2 linked regions of the Oryzias latipes genome follow. The protein of the gene in region 1 purifies or fractionates together with the protein of each later gene. This does not show direct contact. Links are inferred from orthologs where the notes say so. Each region holds a gene or a part of one and is shown in the gene's direction. Other genes may lie near its edges.

What was found.
Region 2: the proteins of ess2 (region 1) and protein FRA10AC1 purify together in Homo sapiens (co-immunoprecipitation; 3 studies listed by BioGRID and IntAct, counting the BioPlex papers as one, with this or other methods). This does not show direct contact. The link is inferred for Oryzias latipes from reciprocal best matches to the Homo sapiens genes ESS2 and FRA10AC1.

The regions. Positions count from the first base shown.
Region 1 is NC_019870.2:13,785,340-13,798,084, forward strand, and holds ess2 (splicing factor ESS-2 homolog), read left to right. Parts: upstream 1-6,125; 5' UTR 6,126-6,409; coding exon 6,410-6,553; intron 6,554-6,680; coding exon 6,681-6,849; intron 6,850-6,967; coding exon 6,968-7,051; intron 7,052-7,282; coding exon 7,283-7,452; intron 7,453-7,685; coding exon 7,686-7,803; intron 7,804-7,888; coding exon 7,889-8,022; intron 8,023-8,162; coding exon 8,163-8,265; intron 8,266-8,627; coding exon 8,628-8,737; intron 8,738-8,843; coding exon 8,844-8,959; intron 8,960-9,036; coding exon 9,037-9,313; 3' UTR 9,314-9,481; downstream 9,482-12,745. Other genes in the region: gsc2 (homeobox protein goosecoid-2), read left to right, coding at 2,404-2,644, 2,718-2,953, 4,462-4,473; dgcr2 (integral membrane protein DGCR2/IDD), read left to right, coding at 11,371-11,452. UniProt on the Homo sapiens protein: May be involved in pre-mRNA splicing.
Region 2 is NC_019877.2:6,165,365-6,178,015, reverse strand, and holds the start of protein FRA10AC1, read left to right. Parts: upstream 1-4,247; 5' UTR 4,248-4,343; coding exon 4,344-4,361; intron 4,362-4,841; coding exon 4,842-4,921; intron 4,922-6,241; coding exon 6,242-6,334; intron 6,335-6,586; coding exon 6,587-6,632; intron 6,633-6,792; coding exon 6,793-6,869; intron 6,870-6,971; coding exon 6,972-7,055; intron 7,056-7,130; coding exon 7,131-7,215; intron 7,216-8,294; coding exon 8,295-8,340; intron 8,341-12,651. Other genes in the region: lgi1 (leucine-rich glioma-inactivated protein 1), read right to left, coding at 766-837, 910-1,130. UniProt on the Homo sapiens protein: May be involved in pre-mRNA splicing.

The DNA.
Region 1 (12,745 bases):
TGCTGCATTAAAAAGCTATGTTGCAACACAACTTTTATATCTAATAGTCTTCTTTTGAACTTCTGGTATATCCAGAAAAAGTGTCACCAACATGTGCACTAAAATTTAAAAAAACCCACTCCAAGGAAAATTAGGTTCTTGGTGTTTTAAAATATTCTTGCAACATTTTCCTCTTGATGGAGGCCATATATAAAGCAAATTAAGCTTAACGTTGCATTTCTGAGTATTTCATTTTTAAACCAGGAGCAGACGAAAAAATGGTGGAAAAAGCCTATAGCTGTGGGGGTCAAGGGCTGCAAGCTAGCAGGAAATCTTGTAAACAGATGGATGATAGGAAGTGGGGGAAGGCTTACTCTGCAGCAACACCCACAACTCAGAGGCGCATTTCTAATGGACTGTTGTCTCTATATGTCCTAGACAATGATTTTGTCTAAAAACGGCATAATCATAATGATCAAAAGACCATCACAATGGGACTTTAACAAGTAATGGAATGTTATGTTCGGCAATAATTGATAAAAAAAAAGTTTCGTCAATGCCAGTCAGACTGTATAACCCTATTCTGTTTGCATTCAGAGAAGTGATATCATGTGATGGAAGCAGTGTGTAAATATTGGGCATCACTGGATGTAATTTTAAAGGAGGTATTTATAATCTCATAATACTCTGGAACACACTTACATCAGCGGTCTGTCAGAGACAAAGTCCTGCATTTGGAAGTGGAATCACGAAATTGTCCAAGACATCAGAAATTGTGGAAGAAAGAGGAGCTGGGCCGGTGTTGCTGTTTGTGTTCAAATATAACATGACAAAATGTCTTGTTTCTGTTGATGCTGTTGGTGTAACCCCCTTACTCTGCAAATTGCCCCACTTCAAAAGATGAAAGAGGTGTATAACGTGTAAATACTTGAGTGATCGAATAATGGATTGATCTCAAGCATTGTAGTGAAAGCAGTACAGATTTCAAACAGATTTATCAAACTCATTACAGAAATGATGAAATGCATGTAGATTGAAAAAAATCAGAAAACAAAACCAAAAAAACACTTAAATCACATTTGCTTAATTAAATAGTGATTGTTAACGGAAGACATGCTGAGTTTAAGTTGAAGCAAAGAAGCAAAAATGTTAATACAATATTTGTCAATTTTGGATGTAGCTGCTTGAAATTAACAAAACAAATTATTTGATTCATTATCACATTTTAGCCTCTCTGAAGTCATTTTAAAATACAGACTTTGGTCCAATCAGCTCATGACAAACAGTAAAAATTCCATTGAGAGTTGACAGCTCTGTTCCCTTTATTTCTTGTCTAAAATATTGCTTACGACAACAACAACCTTTATCATTTTAATCCTGAGTAATGAAATTTGACCCCTTTGGCCCTGCACGGATGCGGCACAAGTCCTTCTGTTGGCAGCCACAATACGTGCAGATAATAATCTGACGTTAGCCACAAACTATACATCAGACTATCCGGACACTATTAAACCCCTGTGAAAAGGATGAGATGGTGTTTATTGTTATCTGTGTTCAAACCCCGCTTATAAGGCGGCTTAGGAGGGAGATTGCAGAAATCCATTAATTCCTCGAACGAAAAAGAAAAAAAAAAAAGAAAACAACAAAAAAGTGCAACGCACTGCCTTGTATGAAATCACAGGATTTGCTGGGCGGATGAATTTAACCTGTAATAGCTTTACCTCGACTGTGCACATTGTCAGAGGAGTCAAAGTGAAAAAGACTGCAGGGCGTAGATAAGACGCGGGATTGTGAATACAAGCCGTGTGCTGAATTTACTTCTTCAGTGTGTTTTTATCTTTAAAGCATCACGAAAATCAAGAAAAGGAAGCCATACATCCATCACTAATTGTGTTCAAATATTAAACACATTTGTTTATATCAACCTGAACAAACGCACAGATTTACCGATGGCCAATAAGTCGAAAAGTGATGACATGATATCAATTTAAAAGCTACTTGTAAAATTCAGTTTTGAGCCGCACAAAAATGTTCATCTTTAAATCCAGGTTTCTAATACCAAGCAATCCCTTTTCTCTAAAGCCCCAACAATAAGGATCTAAGGGGCTCTCCATGTCTCATTTTATGCATTGAAATCTGATTTCTGTTGGAGAAAGGAATGAAGAAAGATTAACTGAATCTAGCGTCCTCCATAACCTCTTCACAAAACTGCCCAGATTAGCCAGGAATTAAGTTTCAGTCATTTTATGTGTCTAGTCTGCAAGGGGATTATAGTTTTAAGGGGGGGGGGGTTTCTTCTTCTTTCCTATAAGGGCTTGAATTGCTGTTGAGGGAAGCGTAGAAAAAGAGAAGCCGCTGAGGCTGAAATATCAGAAAGATTTGTGTCCTGCAATCGTTTGTGCTTTCCCTGGAATTTCTCTGAAGATGGATGGACTGATGAGGACGGAGAGACAAAAGTTTTCCTTCTCCATTGAAAGCATTCTGAGCAAATGTCCAAATAGTTTAGGGGAGAAACTGGCATGTGGAGCGAGGGTTCTTGGACTCAAAGAGAGGGCGGTGTGTTCGGATGGAGGCCCGGCTGAGTCGGTGGGTCACGCTTGTCTTTGCTGCTGCTGCTACTGCACCCACTGTGCAGACATCATCCACGCCGATTTCATTCACGACGGTAGGACCAGACGCTCTTTGCACAAGCTGATCCTCTTGGTAGAATTCTGGCTTTAAATCTCTCACGTCTGCAGCCTGTCCGTACGGTTGGAGTCCAGCGGTGCTTTCAGAGCAGTGCAGGCTGGGGGAGGCTCAAAAGGAGGAGCAGCCGCCTGGTCAGGTGCAGAGGAGAACCAGACGTCACCGCACCATTTTCACTGAGGAGCAACTGGACGCCCTGGAGGAGCTGTTTCTGCAGAACCAGTATCCAGATGTGAACACAAGGGAGAAGCTGGCACAGCGTACTCATCTCAGAGAAGAGCGGGTGGAGGTAGGAAGTGCTGCGTCCATCATTTATTGGGAATAAAAAAAAAAAAATTAACTTGTTATTTCTTAACAGCACCTCCCTTTTTCTAAAACACAGGTTTGGTTTAAAAACCGAAGAGCAAAGTGGAGACGTCAGAAGAGACTTTCATTTGTTGAAACAAATGTGTGTGTTTAATACTTCAACCCTGTATCTGCTACTGCTTTTTAAAGGGTTGATCAGATCAAATATTTACCAGATGGAATGTAAAAATTCATAAATACTTTACTGAACTTTTAAGGCAGCTGATATATGAGCCAGAATGAATGAATGAATATGAAAACATGTAATCAAGCCGTTAAGAAAAACTTGAACATTCATTTAAAAAGAGCAAAGGGGTCTTGTTTGCCAAAGGTTGTGAAACATTTTTTTCAAAATAAACATTTTCTCACCTTTTTTTTGTAAAAATTAAGATGTAGCCTTCAGCAAAAAAGTAGTACACTTAAAGTTTATTTTAGCAAGTATACTTGAGTATAAGAATAGCAAGCATACGATACGAGTTATGTAGGAAATATACTAACTGAATACTTCTTCATACTACATTAAATCAGATTGAATTTACAATATATAGATAAAAAGTCAACTTAAAATATACGGTTGAAACTATAAGTTACCTCACATAAAAACACATATATGCCTTTTTTTCTCACCGTCAGACATGAAATAAAAGTAAACTTTCCCTGTTTTAGGTCAATTACAATATACACATTTTTTTGTATTTGCTGAATGTCATAATAATTTTTAGACACATTTTTATTACTTTTATCAAATTCAAAAGTTTACATACATTTAATTAATATTTGGTACTATGTCCTTCAAACTGCAGTACTTGGGTCAAACATCTTGGATATCCTTCCACAAGCTTCTCATAAGATTTGGCCCATTTCTCGTGACAGAACTGGTGTAACTGAGCCAAGTTTGTTGGTCGCCTTGCATGTACAAGCCTTTTCAGCTCTGACCATGAATAATCAATAGGATTTAACCCATTGTCCATTTGGAAGATCCATTTGTGCCCAAGCTTGAACTTTCTGGCTGATGTCTTCAGATGTTGCTTTAATATTTCCACATACACTTCTTTTCCCACGATGCCATCTATTTTGTGGAGTACACCAGTCCCCCCAGCAGCAAAACAAGCCCACAACATGATGCTACCACCCCATGCTTTACAGTTGGCCACAGGACATGTCTCCAAAAATTTAAGTCTTTATCCTTGTGTGCATTAGCAAATTTTAATCTGGCTTTTCAAATTTTTTTTTTCTTTTTGTGGGAGTAATGGCTTCTTCCTGACAGAGTAGCCTTTCAGTCCATGTCTGTACAGTACTCGTTTCCCTGGCGACACAAATGGCTGGACGTTCCCATGATGTTTACACTTGCGTCCAATTATCTGAACAGATGAACGTGACGCCTCTGGAAATTGCACTTAAGGAGGAACCAGCCTCCTTGGGTGCGAATCCTCAATTGTCTTGTCTTGTCAGGTTTTCTTTTGACTGTCCCACGATGCTTTCCAAACAAGTAAGTGTGTTTCAAATGTTGTCTAATAAGTATCCACAGGTGTACTGTATTTCTGATTAACTCAAATACTGTCAATAAACATATCAGAAGCTTCCAAATAGATGACATCATCATCTGGGGTTTCCCAGATTTTTTAAAGGCATACTGAGCATATGTAAACTTTGACTTTGATAAAAGTAACAAAAACGTATCTAAGAATTATTCTGACATTTAGCAAATAGAAATAAACTTGTAAATTGTAATTGACCTTAAAAAGGAAGAGTTTTATTTATTTTATATCTGACGATAAGAAAAAAAAAGCATATGTGTTTTTTATCATGTGGTGTATGTAAACTTTTGGTTTCAACTGTACTGCCTCACCTTTAGCATAGACTACTTGTAGTACACCTACTACTTTTTGGTCATGGAAAGGCCAACTTTGTGGCTAAAATTGAAAGTGTTAGCCTGTTTTTTCATGATTGGCTGCCAGTTTGAAGGTAAAGGCTACTTCTATTATTAAAACTACAGATTCTTTTTGATAAAAAACAAGGGGTGGGAAAAAATATGTTTAGTCAATATTGCAATGTCTAAGTGAAATGGGATTGAATTCAGATGAATTATTTGGTGAATATGCCTATGAAAGAAACTGAAAGGGTTCATACCGTAAGCAATCTCTTATGTTACAATCTCCATTTCCAATTATGTGACTTAAAATATTTATAAATGTCTGTGTGCCTCTTTTGTTTGGTTTATTCGATCCTAGCTATGGTTTATTTCCCGGGTTTCGATTTCTCCTCAGACCCAGTTTTATTGGTTTTCTTTTGATAATCATCCACAGCTGTCTTCAGGTCAATCATCTTCAGTGCATTTAATGTCTGATATTAAGCTTATTTTACTTTTCATGGGTCATTTGCTTTGTCAATTTTTTTTACACATTTTGTTTCATGCTTTTTCTGTTTTTGAATCGTTTTGCCAAAACTATGATTATTTAATAAAATTTTAATGTCTGCCACAAGCCTATTTTTTTTAGCACTTTGGGACCTACATGATCGGTTCCTGCTGACACATCCGTCTTTTTTAGACTCTCAGTCACTGGATACAATTTTATAAATTTCAAATTCAAAACTAAATCCACATTTTTAAAAAGGTACTTTGGGGAAAAATCAAACACTTGGTTTTAAACCTGTTTCTTTCCTAAGCTGCAGTTAAACAGAAATTGCTGCTGTCCACGTATCCAGCTTGTTTATTGAAAAAATGTAGTGTAAGGATGTTTAGAATTTCACGGGAAGTGTTGTCATTAGAGAAAAAGGGAATCATGTGAGTATACAGGCTTACCTAGAAAAAAGCTTAAACTGCTTTAAATAACCTCTTGTTTCTATTATCTTTCTTTTTTCTGTCTGTTAACTCCTTTTGGAAATATTGCTTTTCATGTGTGTATTATAATTGCATATGTTTCAGTTTACATGTTGCTATGAAACAATAAAAATAAAAAAATATTGTGGCAGGTATAAATGATTTAATCAGAAAAGAAATAGACTGACACTGAAAGCCAAAAAGGTAAAGAGTTCACCTGAGGGTGAAGGAAAACGTGACAGGAGGAAACGTTTAGTGGGCACTGCACTAAAAGGAATTACCACTAGATGGCAGTGCCAGTCAAACTGGAATGAAGGTCACATTTCTCTCCCAAACTGAAGAAGAGAAGAGCTTCCGGTTAGATTAGTGATCAGACATTACGTAAGTCCGTTCTGATTACGGGTGTTTTGATTAACATCGAGGGTTGATTTATCCAAATTATTTATTCACAACGCTTGTAAGAAATTTAAATCGCCGTTATCGAGTTAAATAATCACTTCCTGTTTTATATTTAGTGTTTGTTTGAAGTGGGAAGCTAGCCTTTACTTTCCAGGCTAGCAGGCTAATTCTTTGGCTATAATGGAGGGTAGCGCAAGCGTGAGGAGAGCGTTGTCCGGGACGCTCGTTCCCTTAGCGATCTCTACAGTAGCTCTTCGTGAGCCCGAGCCAAAGGATAAAGGAAAGCTGAAGAGAAAAGTCCTCGATGAAGAGGAGTACATTGAGGTAACGAAGCCAGCGTCTCGATATGTTTACGACTGCGTGAAGATTTCATGTGAGCTAGCTTGATCGATATTTTGGTTTGTAACTGACTGTACTTGTCTTGTGTTTTTCTCTGGTCTACTTTTGATAGAGCTTAGAGAAAATCATCCAAAGAGACTTTTTCCCAGATGTGACAAAATTGCAAGCTCAAAGGGATTATTTAGAAGCAGAAGAGAATGGAGACCTTGAGAAAATGAGAGAGATATCCATCCGATTTGGATCTAATTTGACCAAATCAACCCCACAATCCTCTGCACCTTGTGAGTAATAAACCAGTCTTTCTGTTTCTGTTTGTGTAGACGGAAAGAAAAACAAAACTTCTTTATTCGATTTGTTGTAATTATTATTCTGTTGTCTTACCTTTCCTTTGTGAGCCAGATGTGACCCCAGCCAGCTTTGAAACCCCAGTGGGCTGTCCAAAATCTCCATCCTCCAATCACTGCAGCAAAGTTTCTGAAGGGGGTTAGTTTTAAATGTTTGTAATCAACTATTTACATTTGTAACGATTTAGTCTCATGTTCACAATTTCATATAAATTGGCTTAAAAACCTCAGTTCCTGTTTAAAAGTCATCTGTCTATATGTTACATTCTTTATCCATGTGCTCAGAAATTGCTAAGCATGAAATGGAAAATGTTAGGCCTACAGTTGGCGAGCACTAAATCATCCCTGTCTTTCATGTATGATTTTATAGAGCATAAGGAGGATGATGGGGAAGACAAAAAGCTTCCCAATCTGGACCGTTTTCTTGCCAAAACTACCAGTGAGGATAATGCCTCCTTTGAGCAGATAATGGAACTGGCAGAAGATAAGGAGAAGCTGAAGCATGCCTGGTTGTATGAAGCAGAGGCAGAGTTCAAACAGGTTGGTGTGAAGCAGTTATGATAGTGAGGCTCACATGACAAGCTTTGAAGCTACAACTACATTAGAGATTTTGTGGTAATACACTCATGGCCTCTCTTATGTAAGCCAATTATGAAATCTGTGAGTTAACGTTTACCAGTTTAATTGTGTCTGCCATATAACTGCATCCAAAAATTGCAGCGATAATGCTTTGAAAATGTCTTGCCTCAAAAGCTTTCTTTCTTTCTTTTCAGCGCCACGAGAATAATCTGGCTTTACCACCGGCGGAGAAAGCTGCGCTAGAATGTGTAAAAGCTGGTCTAGAGACGTGGGAGTACAAGGCAAAGAATGCCCTTATGTATTATCCAGAGGGTAAAGTATTCATTTAAATTATTTCCTATACTGAAGGTTTACAGTAAGCCCAGTCTATTTGAGATTTTTTATTTTATTTTATCAGGTGTTAAAGATGACGACAGTGTCTTCAAAAAACCAAGAGAAGTGGTCCATAAGAACACTCGGTTTTCCGGAGACCCCTTTAGCAACGCTCTCAACAAAAGCCAGATACAACAGGCAGCAGCTCTCAACGCACAGGTACACTGTTTTATTTTAAAACACAATTTAAAGTATCTCATGTGTACAGCTATGAAGTGTTTTTTTCTTACCTGGCAGTGCTACTAACAAGTCATCTTTTCCTGAATCGTGTTGCTAACATGATGTTGTGTTTTTTTCAGTTTAAACAGGGAAAAGTTGGTCCGGATGGAAAAGAGCTAATCCCACAGGAATCCCCCACAGTGAACGGATACAGCTATGAGAGAACACCTTTGGTCGCACCTGGTGAGTAAACCACCGTGGTTGTGCCTGAAGACTAAAACTTTATATGGAGTTGTTGGGATCCTATCTTAATATGTCTGTCCAGCTCAAGATTAACCCATAGTTTCACAGCAGAGCGGGTTTGTCATGCCTTTGTTTTCCCTGTAAACACAGAGCTGTATACACTGTCTTTTTTTTTTTTTTTTTTTGCATCTGCTACCATAGTAATTGTTTTTCTGAGGAGAAAACACGCTGCTGTTTCTTTTTTTTCCCTAACTTTGCTGAAGCTGAAGTTTCCTTTGAGGCAGCAAAATTATCTATAGGCGGGTTTCATGTGCTCTTTCTCCTTAAGAAGCTTTCGACTAAAAGTATTTGTTGTTTTTTAGGTGTTTCTGAGTCCCCTCTTATGACCTGGGGTGAGATTGAGAGCACCCCATTTCGCTTGGACGGCTCAGACACTCCATACATTGAGAGAAACCATGGCCCATCCTTTAAGGTGCCAAACTTAAAAAAAATAAATGAAATAATTGTTGTTTTCTAGCTCCTTTGCATTTTTAAAAATGTGAACATTGCCATTGTTTGTTTGTTGTTGTTTTTTGAAGATTCCGGAGCCAGGAAGGAGGGAAAGGTTGGGTCTGAAGATGGCGAATGAAGCTGCGGCTAAAAACCGTGCAAAGAAGCAAGAGGCCCTACGGAAGGTCACAGAGAACCTTGCAAGGTATTGACAATTGCCTTTTTAATTAACCTGTTTGGGCACACACAAAGAACTGAAAAAGCATTTTGTTTTGGTTGCAGTCTTACTCCCAAAGGTCTGAGTCCAGCGCTTTCGCCCGCCTTGCAGCGGCTTGTTAATCGGACGTCAAGCAAATACACAGACAAAGCCTTAAGAGCCAGCTACACCCCTTCACCCTCACACAGAGGGGCAGGCTGCAAGACTCCATTTGGACCCGACACGCCTTCGGGAACACCAACGCCCAACAAAGTCAAAACTCCCGGCTCTCAAGACCTCACATCACTCACAGACAATCTGCTGCAGCTTCCAAAAAGACGGAAAGCATCAGACTTTTTCTAGAAGCAGTTTTCTGTGAACATTGTAAAAAAGACTTTTATAACGAGGATTTTTCTATGTAAATAGTCCGTTTTTTTGCAGCAATGACATAAAAAATGTGGACTGAAATTTCTAAAGACCTATTTATTGCATCTTTCTTCATTGCTGTAAAATAAACATTGATACCTACAATTTGTTTCTACTTGCTTTGCCCCTAATGTAAGTTCTCATTGGTAGTTTTGTTGTCTTGCAAATAAGTTCGGTCGAAAGGCAAAACCTGAGGTTTTTTTTGGTGTCATTTCATAAAAATAAAATTAGGAAAACATTTTAAAGTATTCAAATGGGGTTTCAATTATCACCTAAAGGAGAAGGAAAAACATTTAAAACTTTTGTTAGTAAAACTAAGTTTACAACAGAGAAACTGTCGAAGATGATAAAAAATAATAACAAAGCTTAACTTCCAATACATCCAGTTGAAGTAATTTAAAGGAAAAAAACTGTTTAAATAACTTAAAGATTAGCAGCAAAGATCAGTGTCTGGTTTAAGTATGACTGTTTGGGACGTTTTAAAAATCAAGTTAAACCTTTGCCTTTGTGAAACCGACATCTCCACATTTTTAACACAAGAACTCACTCAACAGGTTTTGCCTCCAGCAAAACAAACTGGGTTTAGGATACTTAAAAAAGCATCTCTTTTTGAGGACATTTGGGTGTTGGTTTATTTCTGTCAATAAGTGGCAGAGATGAAGGCCTGATTCACACAGTCTCCTGCTGCTAGAACTCTGTGCCATTGACCTGCTCTCTAATCTGAGCTGCTGTTAACCTGCCATTTCTGAGGCTGCTGACTCGGATGAATTTTTCCTCCACAGCAGAGGTGACTCTTGGTCTTCCTTTCCTGGGGCGGTCCACATGTGAGCCAGTTTCTTTGTAGCGCTTGATGGTTTTTGTGACTGCACTTGGGGACACTTTCAAAGTTTTTCCAATTTTTTCAGACTGACTGAACTTCATTTATTAAAGTAATGATGGCCACTTGTTTTTCTGCACTTAGCTGCTTTTTTCTTGCCATATTACAAATTCTAACAGTCTACTCAGTGGGCCTATCAGCTGTGTATCCACCAGACTTCTGCACAACACAACTGATGGCAAGAAACCACACTTATTAAACCTGACAGGGCACACCTGTGAAGTGACAAACATTTCAGGTGACCACCTCTTGAAGCTCATCAAGAGTGTGCAAAGCAGTAATCAAAGCAAAAGGTGGCTACTAAGGACCTAGAATATGACATATTTTCAGTTGTTTCACACTTTTTTGTTACATATATAATTCCACATGTGTTAGTTCACAGTTTTGATGCTTCAGTGTGAATCTACAATTTTCGTAGTCATAAAAAAAAGAAAAACTCTTTGAATGAGAAGGTGTGTGCAAACTTTTGGTCAGTACTGTATATAAATGATATTCTTCATATATGTATGAAGAAACTCCTTATTAAGTAAATCCATTTAGATAGATAGATAAAACTTGTTTAAATAAAAGTAAATCTCTACATTTTCACTATTTACTCTAGTTCCACTGCGAATACAACCCTTTTTAGCTCAACCGAAATCAAATTAAATAAATAAAGGTTCCTCTATTATTTTTCTTTTATTCAAAATAAACCTTTATTTACATGAAGTTTCCAGGAGGCGCGTGCCGTGTCAGTAGCTGTGATCTGCCGCGCTCCGCCCCGCCCCTCTAGCGCTTCCCCCGCCCGTGCCGCATGTTTGGAATTGTTGTGATGGGGGAGGCCGCAGCCATCTTGGATGAGCGCCGCTACGCACCGAGCAAGCGAGCAAAGGACGGACGCCGTTAACGACGGGAGCTAGCTAGCTAGCGTTAGCTGTTCGGTCAGATTATCTACGTAATGCGACTATGGTTTATATACCTTCTTTAAGTCCCTTAAACGACACCTAAAGTGTGTAGAGATGGATTTAAGACGTGTCCGGCGGTGATAGTTGTGTTTTGGAAGCGGGCGGAGGCGTTGCAGACCCTCGGTATTATTAAATTTTCCAGATAGAGAAGAGTTACTATGAATGGAGGATAAATGTTGCCGAAGGCTGATAGCAGCAGTTTCCTCCTCTTTTCTCTTCTCTTCGTCCTCACCGTAACGGACTCGCCTGGGACAGGTAAATAAAGACAGTTTGTTGTTGTTTTGGAGCCGAAAAGTAGGAGAGGCAGATTCCAGTTAAATGGGGGGGAAGAGGGCGGCAGGTCTGGCGCAGAGGCCTGCAGGACAGACAGACCAGGGCTGTTTTTATGCTGGTTTGTAACGTGTTCCTGACCCTGATTGATCATCAAGTCCAGGAGAATTTACACCTGAGGAATAGCTTCTAGTCGCAGAGGATGTAGAAAAATGTTAAGTTAAAAAAAAATCCACGCAGGAAAAAAAATCACAGATCAGTATAATTAAGTCTCGAACCCTAAGATTAGTCTGCCAAACAACTAACTTTAAGAAACTATACTTTTTAGGGAGGTTATATTCAAACAATTTCATATAGATATGTTTTAGGGGGAAATTATATCGCTTCAATGGTTTTGCATGTTGTGATTTCCAATCATCTTGTTGGAAATGCATGGCGGAAAAGAAGAAGCATGCCGTGATTTTTGATGGTAGAAATCCGTGTTTTTACACTTGTTATAAATGTTTTTCTCTGCTTAAAAATGCCCTAAAACACATAAGCACGTGAAAGCACAGAGATGCATTAGGAACATGGATGAGTAAAAGGGGCCACTTCCACTTCTAGCATGTCGTAGCATCTCTTCTAGTTTCTGTGTGTTGTTGTTTGGGAACCAAAAGAGGAAATGTAGGAAATTCCGATTGTCGTCTTGTTTGAATGGAAGCCTTCGGGCCTCTTAAAAAGCAGCAAATGGATCTTGTGGTTTCCCTCAGACTTTGTCTTGTGATCCAGCCAATTGCGTGGATTAGAGAAAACTGCCATCAGCTCAGCTCACGGATAAACACGGCACTGTTTGGTCCTAACTGAGGATGAACTCTGCAAAAAGCAAGTTAATCCCAAAACACTTTTGATTCCCTCATTATGGGGTTGTTTTATGTCTTTATTTTTATTTTTCAATTGAAAGATTGAATTAACTTTGCTTAAAAACGCCCATTTTGTTCAATTATCCTAAAATAGTCGAGGTTATCCTCTTGACAGTTGCATCCTTTCACACTAACTGGATGTTTGTATGAACTTGTTTGAGTTTTCTGACTTTACCAAGTTCGTTGGATGCCTGATATGGATTTGCACATTAAAAAAAAAAGTTTGGAGCTCACTTCAAAGGAGCAAACATCCTGCGACATCAGAAATTCACAATAAAATGGAGATCTGCACAGATGAAGAAACAGTTCCCTGAGATCGCGCTCCCGATGAGCTTGATTGCCAGAAATCGGCCTCTATTGATGTAAAAACTTTATTTCG
Region 2 (12,651 bases), on another chromosome or scaffold:
TAAGGACCCTGGTTAGAATATTTAGTACAAAGTGATGCTGCATATGCAGAAATCCCAATCTGATTTGATCTCAGTGATGTTTTGTGAATTCTCCTTTTTTATGTTTGTATTTTAAGGTTTGAATTGTGAGATTTTATTAAGATATTAAAAGAAAATATGCGATAGTTGTGCCTCCCCCCAAAATGAGCAACATTGTCGCTAAATGACTTAGTAATAAAATTTGTCAGATGATATTTCAGTCGTAGGATGTCCAAAACTCAAAAAAGGATGGATCATGTCTCTTTTAACCCAGTGATTGTAGCTTTTGTCACAGATAGAAGCCCTATTGATTGAAGTGTGGGTCTAATGGAGGTGAAAACAGACTCATTAGTTACCCCCCTCCCGGCCCCCTCCTTCTTGTCACGCTCTTTTGATCCCTGATGCCTCCTCCTCCTCTGGAGAGCTCCTTCTGCCACAACTGAGAACATGAAGATGGAATCCTCAAAGCAGAGGCTTTGTCTGGGAAACCTGTGCTCACTGACAAGCTGCTTTCATCTGACTTGGGTTCCTTCATGATGGCTCCAAATCAATCCATCAACGCTGATAAAAGTGGCCACGAGGAGAGGAGAAGGCTGTATTTTTGTTCCTCAGTCCCAGCTGTTTGTTTCTGCGAGCATGTGGTTCATTGCATAATCCTGACACCATTACAGGGAATCCCATTGAATTTGCATAACTCCCCTCCTTTGTTTGTTTCCTTCCCAAATGGATGTAAACAGACATACTCACAGGAGTTGCAGGTGGGGAGTGTGCACAAAGCTCCCCCCGGTGATTTCACTGAATCCTGACTTGACAAAAGACCTAAAAAACGGAGGAGAAATGAGTGGGGACCTGTGCGTGGCGCCCCGGAGAGCAGGCTGGAGTTGCGCTTACAGAGACAGCACGTCGGAGGGGAAGGCGTGCGGCACGGAGCGTACATCCTCGCACAGGGCATTATCCTTGGTGCAAGTGCATCCAGCGGGGCATCTGGGCTGCTTCACCCTCCGTCCGTCAATCAGCACCAAACTGGCAGCGGCGACCCAAACCAGCAGCCTCCAGCCTCTCCATCCCGGCTGTCCCGACGCGCCCGGCTTCAAACTTGCGCGCAAAAACATGCCAAACGATGTTGCGCTCTTCTTTTTCTCCCCCTTTTTTTTTCTCTGCAATAATAAAAAGCTGTGATGCAGGCTTGAGTCGATGCCTCTTGTGTGTTGCGAGGAAGGCACCAGTCCAACGGATTTGTTCTGCAGGGGGCAGGATTACTAATGTGGGACGCAAGAGCGCAAACATCCCAGACTGCTGTCGTTTGGTGATCTCATCCTCCCAAAGTGAAACAAGGTGTCTGAAGTAAGAAGAGACGCCTCTCTCTTATGCCTAGAGGGGCTCCAGAAAGTAAAAAGAGAAATGGAGAGGACAAGGAGAAGGAAGAGGAGGAGGGGAGGCCCTTAGGTGCACTTTTTAGAGGCGCTATTATTTATGCGCGTCTCTGAATCTAATGGGAAGCTGCTATTCATGAGGCTCTGTGCAAATGCACCTGCCCCACTCATCAAATGCTGCCTCCTTTCTTCCCTGCTCCAGCCTGATAATGATGGGAAAGGGGAAAGAAGATGGATTCATGGAATAAACAGGGCACACAGGCCAAACCCAGACTTGGGTTCCATTTGAATTTAAAGCAGAAATATTCTCCTTTTCCTGTCCTGTTTCAGAGCTGACAAAAAGTCCTTTGTTGATTTCAGTGGAAATGTGTTCCCACAATGTATTGAACTTTCACCCAGGCTATTAACTATATTCCAAGCCTTGAACAACCCCCCCCAATATAATGGTCTTTTTTATTTTTCCATCTACATTTCCCAGGCCTGCAAACAGCCTTTGTACCTCAGAGATCGATATTAGGCCCGATAAGCTATTTAGTGTGTAAAACTGAGCCATTTGTTCCAACATTAAAGTCTTTGTTGAATAGTCTGCTTTCATTTTTCAATCAAATTCCAACTGGAGCATGTCTGCTGATAATAGTCTGGCCTTAAATGGCCTCATTGGAGGACTGTTTAGAAATTTACAGGCCATTCATCAAAAACGTCACATAAATCAACAGAAACAGGAAAAAATAACAGGTTTGTTTCTGATTGTTTGTCTTTTTGCTTTGCAAAAAAGATTACGCAGGAACTTAAAATAACATAAAAGAAACGACAGTGGGGTTGGGAGGGAGCATTTAAAACTGATAATATTTATCCAAAATCAGTAAAAATAATAATATAAATGATATATGTAACATAGATTGGGCCAGGCCACATTAAAATAATGATTTTTCCCTTTTTATCTGCTAGACTGCTTGGCCAGCATTAGAGTTTGGTTAAATGACAACCATTAACTTCTGAACCCTAATAAGATAGAGACAACATTTTTTGCCCCTGATGATACCCAGTATCAAAAGACACCTCAGTTCACTGAGCTCCTCTGTCCAGCCCAGTCTCCAGAATCTGGGTGTCTGGCTTGACAAATATTCATCTCCAGACTCTCACTCAAAGCTCCTAGTTAAAAACTGTTTTAATCCCCTGAGGAACGTGGTCAAACTGAAGATACTTTCATCCCAGTCTGATGTTGAGCTGATTCAGCTCTTATCTCTTCTCGTTTAGACTACTGCAATGCTCTTTTTACTTGTTTTAACAAAGACTCTCTGAAACGTCTCCAATTGGTCGAAAACTCTGCAGCAAGGTTTTTAGTAGGATCCAATAAGCCCACTCATCCCACCCCTCTGCTTTTATTGCTGCCTTGGCTTCCTGTTAAATTTAGAATAGATTTTAAGATTTTCATTTCAGTTTTCAGAGCCTTGCACTGACAAACCCAGAACTATATTTCTAACTCCCTACACTCTTGCATGTTCCTTGAGGTCCACTGATGAGAATCTTTTATGTGTTCCAAAAACTAGATTTAAAACTATAGGGGAGACCTCGCCTTTCAGGCAGTCGCTCCTCGACTTTGGCACGACCTCCCTCTGTCTCTGCGGCAGATCGACTCAGTTGAGGGTTTTAAAACTCAAGTTAAGACATTTTTATTCTGGAGAGCTTTTAGCTGACTTTTTCTTGTGTTCACTTTTATTTGTTTGTTTGTTCACTCATATACTTGAGTGTGTTTTATTTGGGTTTTACCTGCTTCAGACTCCCTGTGCCATTCTGTGTTCTTTCTCTGATTTTATTTATTTATTTATTTTTACATTTTGAAGCACCTTGTGGGTAGTTCTCTGCGAAAAGTGTTGTATAAATAAAGATTTACTTACTTACTTCATAATTCTTATTCTCCAATTCATTCAATATTGAATTGTTTGTTTTTGTTCCGAAATATACTTTCTTTAACCTACACATGGTATCCATCATACCTTACATACCTAAACGTTTATGTATAAATTGTATTTTGCACTGATATGGTGACAGCTTTTATGTATCCATTACATTATGTGGGATTTGAGAGAAGTGAAACATTAACCCCATCAAATATTTCTGTAAGACATGACAAAAGAGTGGAAGGTGACTTGCGTTTGGGTTAAGAGGTCGATACTTATGTAAATTTTAACAAAAGTTAAAATTGAACATAACCTCCAAATAATAAAATAGTGTTTGATGCATTTTAGTTGATGAATTTAAATCTATTCTCAAAATAACAACAAAAAATAAAAGAACCTCAACAAAAAAAGGAATACCCTATCTTTAAAATAAAAATGACTACAATTAAAAGTTATTTAGAAAATTATTCTCCTTTTATTTTTCTAATGTATTGTCTATGGAAATATTATCACTTTAATATTTCTATTATAAATATTAAAGTGAAGATGCACTCTGGACAAATTTAATGTTGACAATGAGTTTTTAGAAACAAAAAAGGGAAACTTCGAATATTTTATTAATATTTTAGGTGCATTCAGTCCAAACCTAAATACAGTGATATATTTTTGCAACTGGTATTGAAATAAGATTAATAAAAGAAATGATTAAAATTATTTACTTATGGCTAACGACAGATAAATAAGAGCAACAACAGTCTTCTGTTAAGTTTTGACTTTAAAGGACCCCCCCCCCCCCCAAAAAAAAAAAAAGGTTTCAAAATAACTCAGCCTTTGTGATTTTTAAAATGCTACAACATACAAAGATTTATATAACATTTTTTATTTATTAAAATAAATAACAATAAAAATATTAATAAAAACGAATGCAGGCGGGGAAAAACAAGCATGACGTAATCACACCGCGACGCTGTTGTGCTCACTGACGTCATCATCAGCCGACGGTCTGTCAATGTAAACATTCGTGTGCAGCTTCGGGAGAAAAAAAATACTCATGGAGAATCTTGTACAGGTAGATAAACTATGATACAATTTTCAGATCATATTAATGGGAATCTAATATGATACCAGCAGAAAATAATCCGAACTTGCGATTTTTTATTTTTTAACAAAACACTTGCTGTCTTAGATCCGAGAAGAATGAGGAGGGATGACAAAAATAATAGTGTTTTTTTTTCTTTCTCAAAAAGGGTTTTAAAGATATTTCCGCATTCGTTGTATGATATTACGGCGGTAGAAAAGAACATTTCCATGTTTTTCATGAAGCAAACTAAACCCGGTTGTGTTAAACACAAATGAGTCCCGTATGTCGTGAGAAATAATCCATGTCTGCTGCACACATAAAAAAAGTCTTTAAAGGACTGTTTTTATTTGATTTGGATGCTTTAGTTGTACTTTACTCAATCACTTCAATGACCTTGTGTATGGTTTTTACTAACCACAGATTTTCGTCCATCCTGGTTGTTTAGTGAAGGTTTGATTGAATCTGCAGGTCCATGGTGGGGGAGACTATGACTCAGACTTTAGTGATGAAGATCAACAGGGAGAATCCTCAGAGAGAGCTCGTAAAAGGTAAAACTTTCATCTACAAGAGTCCACATTTGTAAAGGAAATAGATTTATAGAGACATTTTCTATCAGCTGTCTTTTATTTGCAGCACTCAGTTATTATTTGTCTTGTAACTGTGTTATTTTAGCTTTAAGATGAAATTAAGAAAGATTTTTCTTTGATATTTAAATGATTTTATCAATTCATAATCCCCCCCCCCCCTTGCTTGATATAATCCTTTTTATTTATATATCTTTTAATCCCTTTTTAATGCTTTTTTACCATTTATTTTTTGATTAATCTCTGTTTTAACTTTCATGTGGTTCATTATTTTTATGTTTTGTTTGAACTTGAGTGTTTTCCTCAGAGGGATCCTCCACACCAGCCTCCTCAGTGCACAGGGTTGCTCTTCCTGGTCTCGCTCATAGAGCGTATATAGACCTGGACTGAGCGGCTGTGGCGTCACCCATAGAAAGTACTTCACCTTCGGCTCCAGCGAAATGAAACCAATTCAGAAGCCGTTTTTTTCCGCGAGACGGGAGCCACCGTTTGCCAGCCGACAGTGATTGGTCCGAGTTGGTCGTAGCCATGTTTCTATGGCGACTGCTGTTGAGCAAGCTTGTTGGAAGTCCACTCCCCTTCCACTGAAAGTGACTCAGGATAATCTGTCAATCAAATGTCCAAGGTGGGGGCCAGCGGGCACCACATGCTTTTACTGAGGCATCTGATTGGTCCGTTTATACCTTAAATAACTTTTTTATTCTGACTCATTCTGGTGAATGACTGATAAATAACTGTTTATTTCTGTATAGAAATCTATGGCCAATTGGAGCCAGCAGGTACTTCCTGTTTGAAATCCCTCTGTCCAGTTCCTTTATACAGTCAATGGTCTCGCTCCTGGCTTTGATTAGGGGGGAGGGTCCCCTAGAGGGGAGGGTTGCTGGTGTGGATAAGTCCCTGAAATATTGTTTCCTCACTCAAATACAAAGCCAGATTCCTACTTTTCCCACCTCGCTTTTTTTTCCCTTAAAGATTTAAAACTTCTGTGTGCCCCCCCCCCCCCCCCACACACACACACACAGACACACACAACTTCATAATAAAGAATGAGTCCTGACAACACATTATGTTACTACATTGTACTAAAAACACAAACAAACAAATAAATAAGTGATAATTACACAACACAAAGGTTAACAATGAGCATTGCTTCTCTTGTCTGACACTCCTGAACACAAAGCTCGTAAGCTGAGGTGGCCAAATTCCATGCAGTTGAAATCAAAAATGAGTATGAAAAGTGCTGTAAACATTTGATTTGATGAGCACTCTATGAATGTCTGAAAGGAAACACGAGGAGGAACTCCTGCAGAAGCCTTTCCAGAAAGGTCAACATTCAAAGGTCGCTCACCGCAGTTTGCACTCGAGTGAAGTGGACAGGTAACTCACCTGACACACACACACACACATACACCATTTCCGTTCTGACATGTAACACTTAACCAAAAAATGAACCTCTGATGGTATTTTGAGTGATAAATAAGCCCATTATAATTTTTCCACCAAGTTTTTCTTTACTTCTTTTTCTTATTTCTTTGTTTATGTAGCTAAATAGAGCTCAGGAAGGCAAAATGAGTGACTCTGCTGTCTTTACTCAGTTCTGTTGTAAACCGCATTTCTTTTTTTCTATAGAGAAGAAGCCCGGAACAGGAGAGCCCACCTGATTTCCTTGAACGCCGTATCTTTTTTTAATAAACATTAAATCAGAATTTAATAGGTTGGGATGGATGATTTCTGTTTTTGGTCATTTGGAAACATTTTAGTGCAGAAACTGATTTATTTTGCACTTTGCAAGTGTTATCTCTCAAAAAACAGGAAGACCTTAAGCAAATGACTAGTTTGAGCGGCATAAGAAGTTTGTCGGCGACTACATCCTCTACTATGGAGGGCAGATGGCCGACTTCAAACGCTCTGGGTACGTAGAGATTCAAGCCGCTTCCCTGAAAAGTTCATCTGCTGGGAATCGGATTCTCTGGAACCTCTGTTGGTTTTTGTCAAACGTTTTTTTCCCCTTCAGGGTGAAAGATAAAACGGATCTGGACGTTCTGCGCGAAAACCACCGCTTCCTCTGGAGGGACGAGGACGAAGAAGACATGACATGGTGATCCTCCAGAGTCCGGCGCTGAACTCGGAGCTGTCGATGCCCTCGCCTCAACCGGTGCCTTTTCTCCCCCAGGGAAAAGGAGCTGGCCAAGAAGTATTACGACAAACTCTTCAAGGAGTACTGCATAGCAGACCTTAGCAGATACAAGGAGAACAAGGTGAAGAAAAACAAAGAACCCAGAGGCTTCTGACCACCTTTGTTACACTTTATCCTTCAAAAAGATTACAGCTTTCTGGTCCGACGGCGATCTTTAAAAGCAACGTTGTGTCGAACTGAAGTGATTTGAACGTTAGCAGATTTTCAGATTTACGTCTATTTAGGGGATTTACAGATGTTAAGAACAGATTTAGTCAAACATCTTTTATGAAAGGAATAAAATAATAAATAGATATGAATAACACTGCTTTACTACATATGACTTGTTCGGATTCCTTTCAAATAAATTCGATCGTTTTGACTGCAAAAACTGAGTCTTAAGAAGGTAAGAAGACCTTGATTCAAGAACCAAATGTCTTATTTTCTGTAAAATAATCTGATCAAGAACGTTTTTTCATAGAAATATAATCTTAGCTTGAGAAAACATTGAAAAACTTTCTTAATATTAGTATTTTTGGTCAAATATTTTCTCTTACCCCATTGGAAGATTTTATTTTACATTTCTTTCTTCTGCTCAGTTAAAGTATTTGAACAATTCTTGACTTTCTTGGTGGCCTGTTTTTTGCTGTGTACTTTTCTAACAGGAAATGATTCAAAGGGGCAACGTGAACATCACTCTAACCCCCCCTAGAAAAAGGATAGTAGATGTCACAGAGATCACAGCAGAATCACACAATAAAAAACTTCCCCCTAAAATGCCAATTTATTAAATGGACATTTGACATTTGGCACACACAGTTATTAACCCTTGTTCTATCTTGTGGGGTCCAGATGACCCCACTCCCAACGTTGGGAGTGGGGTCATCTGGACCCCACAAGATAGAACAAGGGTTAAAAAAAAAGGTAACAAATCCTAACGTGTGTGTGGAATTCACTCAGTAAACAATGTTATGGATGTGCGTTTGACTTACTGTGCTTAAAATGTCATCTGTGATGATTGAGACAATTCATGACTCAGCAGATAAAATACGCAGCGTTTACCCATCAGCTTCAGATTCTGCTGCTTCACCCATTTCATGTTTTTCTGGGAGTTTTAACTGATTCCGTTGGTCAACTTTTCTGTCTTTCTGCAACCGACAGTTTGGCTTTCGATGGCGGACGGAGAATGAAGTTGTGTCTGGTAAAGGTACGTCTCACTTCCTTTAGTCCTCATATAAAGAAGGACAGACATCGTATGTTGTTACACTGAAAAAGGATTTAAAGATCTTTTTAAACATTTGATATTATTTTGACAGTCACACATAATACAGACCCTCTCCGATCATCTTTAGATCTGTTTTCAAAGCATTTCCAGTGCTCTCTTAATTATGATGATGCCGTTTTTAACCAAAAATCATAAAACTTGGGTTTTTTTCTAAGACACAGTTTCTGCAGTTGTTCATTAGAAATTCGCCTCTGAGCTGTCACTGGGACTGTTGGCGCAGAGCAACCCCCTCCCCCGCTCCCCCTTCCAGTCACCCGTAACTGAGCTCTCTGCCAGCTCACAGCCCCTCACAACCCCGACCTAACATTAGTACTGCAACAAAAATGGCGAGCACGATCTTTGTCAACCTGCATTTTTTTTAACATGCTCCTGATTCACAATGATTTGAATAAAAAAATACTCAAAAATGCACATTTTTAGCTTCATTTCCTTTATTTACATCCTCCATCCTCAGAAAAATGCCACAAGAATTTGTTAACAACAGCAAAAAGAAAAGAATTGAAAATTAAAATGGATTATCTTGCAATTGATAAATCCGTCCACTAGATGGTGCCAGAGGTAAAGAGACTCCCTGCAGCATTACATAACACTCCGTCAGTGCTTTCACCAGAAGCCTGTCCTCAGGAGAGACCTGTTCACATCTTTGTGTCATTTTCATTCAGCTTATGTTCTGACACGTTCTCTCGTGTGATTTTTGTCTTTGTTTTCTTGTTTTGTTTTGTTTTTTTTAACGCCCAAACCTCTGGGAAAAGGATGTATTGACGCAAACCGTGCCCCTCAGGTCTCTGTTTGCTCATCCTCACTCTTCCTCCACAAAATCTAGATGTTTCTGAGGAATCCTGATGATTAAAGCCTGTTTCATGTCCAACATTTGCGATAGTTATTTGCAGGATTACCTTCAAAGGTTGTTTCATTCTGCTCATCAACCAGATTAGGAAAAGGTAGTAGTAAATCCCCATCAACTTCTTTTCTTCTCAATGGTGGAATAAAATGGCGCCAGACGTCTAGTTTGCATATCTGTACACTGCTGCAGTCTCACAAGCATAAGTGTGTCTGAGAAAGCTGACTAAGCCAATATATTGTTCTAGATTAAGACTTTGTAATCCTGCTCTCTGACAGTTCATCCTCTGTTGCAATACAGAGGATGAAGCGCTCCTACAGGAAGTGGGATTAGACAGGTCCACCTCACTTCACTCCAACCGCCACTCCCGAGGTTTGTCCGCTATCATAGTTCCCAGAGGAAGGGAGCCGCTGCCGGACAGACGGAAATCTGAATGTGGAAGGACACGTTTCAGTGCTTTTCTTAACCTCCTCACTCAGAGCAACAACAAACCCAAATTCAAGCCAGAAAGCGAAAGTGTGTTTTCATTTCACAGATTCAATGTTACTCATGTGGGGGACAGATGTGTATTTTGTCCAAAACTACGCGCTTCTTATCCCCGATCATATTATTCTGTCCCGCAGAAGTCCTGGACAGCAAGGACCAGATTTTTTGAGCAATTCTTCTCTCTTACTGCGCCTTTAAGTCACCCAACAGCACATACTCAAAAAATACATGCTGGGGAAGGTGAACAACCTCCCCTCACCCCCCAAAAAATGATGACATCACAGCGGGAGAAAACGACCAAAAACAAATGGGGCCAAAACTTTCCAAAGCCAAAATTCATTTACGAAACCAAAACACACGTGTCGGGATCTCCAAAGGAAGTTTGGAAGTTATTATGGGATGGCTACAGCTTGGCGCTTTGTACTTGCACTGACGCATTGGGATTCTTATTTCTGCTGGGATGATAAGCAGATCGCTTCAGGTTAAAGACCCTCTTCAATGCAAATGGTGTTTTTTGTGCGTTTTTAACATGTTTTTGTAGCATTTTTTTCATGCTGGAGGACATTTGCAAGTCTGAGGATTTTTTTATTCAAATAAATTAATGCTGTCGGAAAAAGCCAGTAGCTTTGACAGAGCTGCCACAGTCGGCGAGCCACACCCTCCCGGCTCCGCCCCATTCGGATGTGATGATGGATTTGTGATGAACCCCTGCCGCTCGAATGAAGGCGCTTTGATTTTGGCTACAAACGGCATGAAAATCCTTAAAAGACCACTGGAATGCTTTGAAGATAGATCCAAACATGATTGGAGTGGGACTTTAATGAGGATGGTTTGAATGTTTTTACCAAAGGGAACAACACAACAGCTACCGACGGCAAATAAAGCAGTAACTCACCCATATGTCATAAGTGCATGCAACATACGTTAGTCGTGACGAACACTTCACGATACATTTACTACACAGACAACAATGGTATGGTCAATTTTTAACAAGCCTGAAGGGAACTGGAGGCACACCTGCACTCCTTCACTCCCGGTCCCTTCTACGACCTTCCATGACCCAAACAACCCAAAAATTTGCAGAACCTGCAACCCCGGTACGGATGCATGGGACTATACCTTCAACTCTTGCATCCAAGCCCTTTTGGACGACTGACAAATGTTATGTAAGAGACTGAGAGCCCCCTTTATATTAATATGCCTCATATGTGTTTGCATTTCTATACCTAATAGTCGCATGCTCTGACAGGGAAACTCATAAATTCTCCAGAGCTTTAACCAAAGTTACTTGCAGCCTCATGTCTGACAAGGTGAAGTTCTTGGATCCTGAGAAGACTTGTTTTCCTCTACGAAGAGACACATCATCTATTTGAAAATGTCCTTACCGGGCAGTCTCGCAACACGATTGATGTGCTTGATGGATTTATTGCTGAGTCCTTTCTGATGTCTTTCTCCCTTTTTCGTTGATAAAACATCTTCCGTTCTCCAAGCTTTTAACACTGTTGCCTTTGTAGAAGCCTCACTAACTGTGACCCACAAGGAGAAAATGTTACTGCAGTCACCGGCACTCAAACGTAAACTCGACTTAATTAACATTTTATGAAGAAATGGTGATATAAAAGCTGTCATGAAGGTCTGTTACGCTCCGGCAGACGTTCAGCCGCGGTGCAGAGGCCGTGCTTTCATTTCAGGTCGTGTTTTTCTCCCTCTGGAGCCCCAGAGTGGAGTTGTCAGCACGAGGAAGGTTAACGGGCCAAAGGTCGTGGAGGTTACACTCCCTTCTCGAGGGGGTTTCCTGAACAAATGTTTTCAAAGTGCTCCCACTTGTAATTCTGCTTCACCTTTATTATCAAATCTGTTTGTCAGCTGCCAAAAAAAGTACTCTTCGCATCACCAAACAGATCATGTCACACCCTGATACGTTTCAGCGATTTTCCTTAAATGCCTTCGAAAGGGAATTGGAAAAGTCTGTCCAAATTAAAGGTGAGACAGCTTGTTCAGCCTTGCTTTAACCAGGTCTATGCTCCCCGTAGGGTTTGTTCTCTATACTTAATTATATCCTGCAAGGCTGTAGTTAGTCAAACGAAATGCGTCAGTTATCAGCCCAAAGCTCCTCAGCATTCAGAGTTACTGTCTATCAGAGCCTCAGCGATGGCTTTCCTTGCTACCTATGCATGCATGACCAAATGCAGTTCAGTTGCATAGTGGAGAACAAAGCAACATGTGTAATAATAGGTAGAAATCCTAATTTGGTGTCCATTTCGGTGTCTATCGTGAGTCAGTTACAGCCCGTCGACTTCAGTGCTTCGTAATCATCCTGCCATCTGTCCTGAGGTAAATATCCGTGTTGATCTCAAGCTGCTGGCTGGCATTATTAAGCATTGACGTAAAAGGAAAGGAGTTTCCCTCTCTTAACGAGTTTACCAACCTGTTGTCAGCTTTTTTTTTTTTTTTTCTTGAGAAGCTAGTCAGGCCTATCTAGCCTGACGCGTGAGGAAACCGTTCACTCGTCAACAGTTAGCTCATCAACAGTCCTCCGTTGGGTACAAATTTGACTGAGTGGATCTAAAGCTGTGAAACAAAAGTGCCCCTTTATGTCTTTGTTTAAAAAGTCTCATGAAAACCAAAGTAGTTATTACCTTTTATGTTAGACGTTGTAGGGCCTAAAGGGTTGAATAATGTCTGCCTTTGATCCCATATGGCTTTTGTAAGAGAAGCTGCTGTGAAACTGATTTATACTCATTTCTCTTCAAGGGCTTTCATGCCTTAAGAAGCCTGAAGGAGGTCAATAGTTGCTTAATATGTTCATTTATATTGTTTATAAAAGAACATTCTGTTTGGAGGAGGTTTCTGCGCTCACTCTGGACATAAGATTACAGTAAAAAAAAAAATCATCATGTCAGACA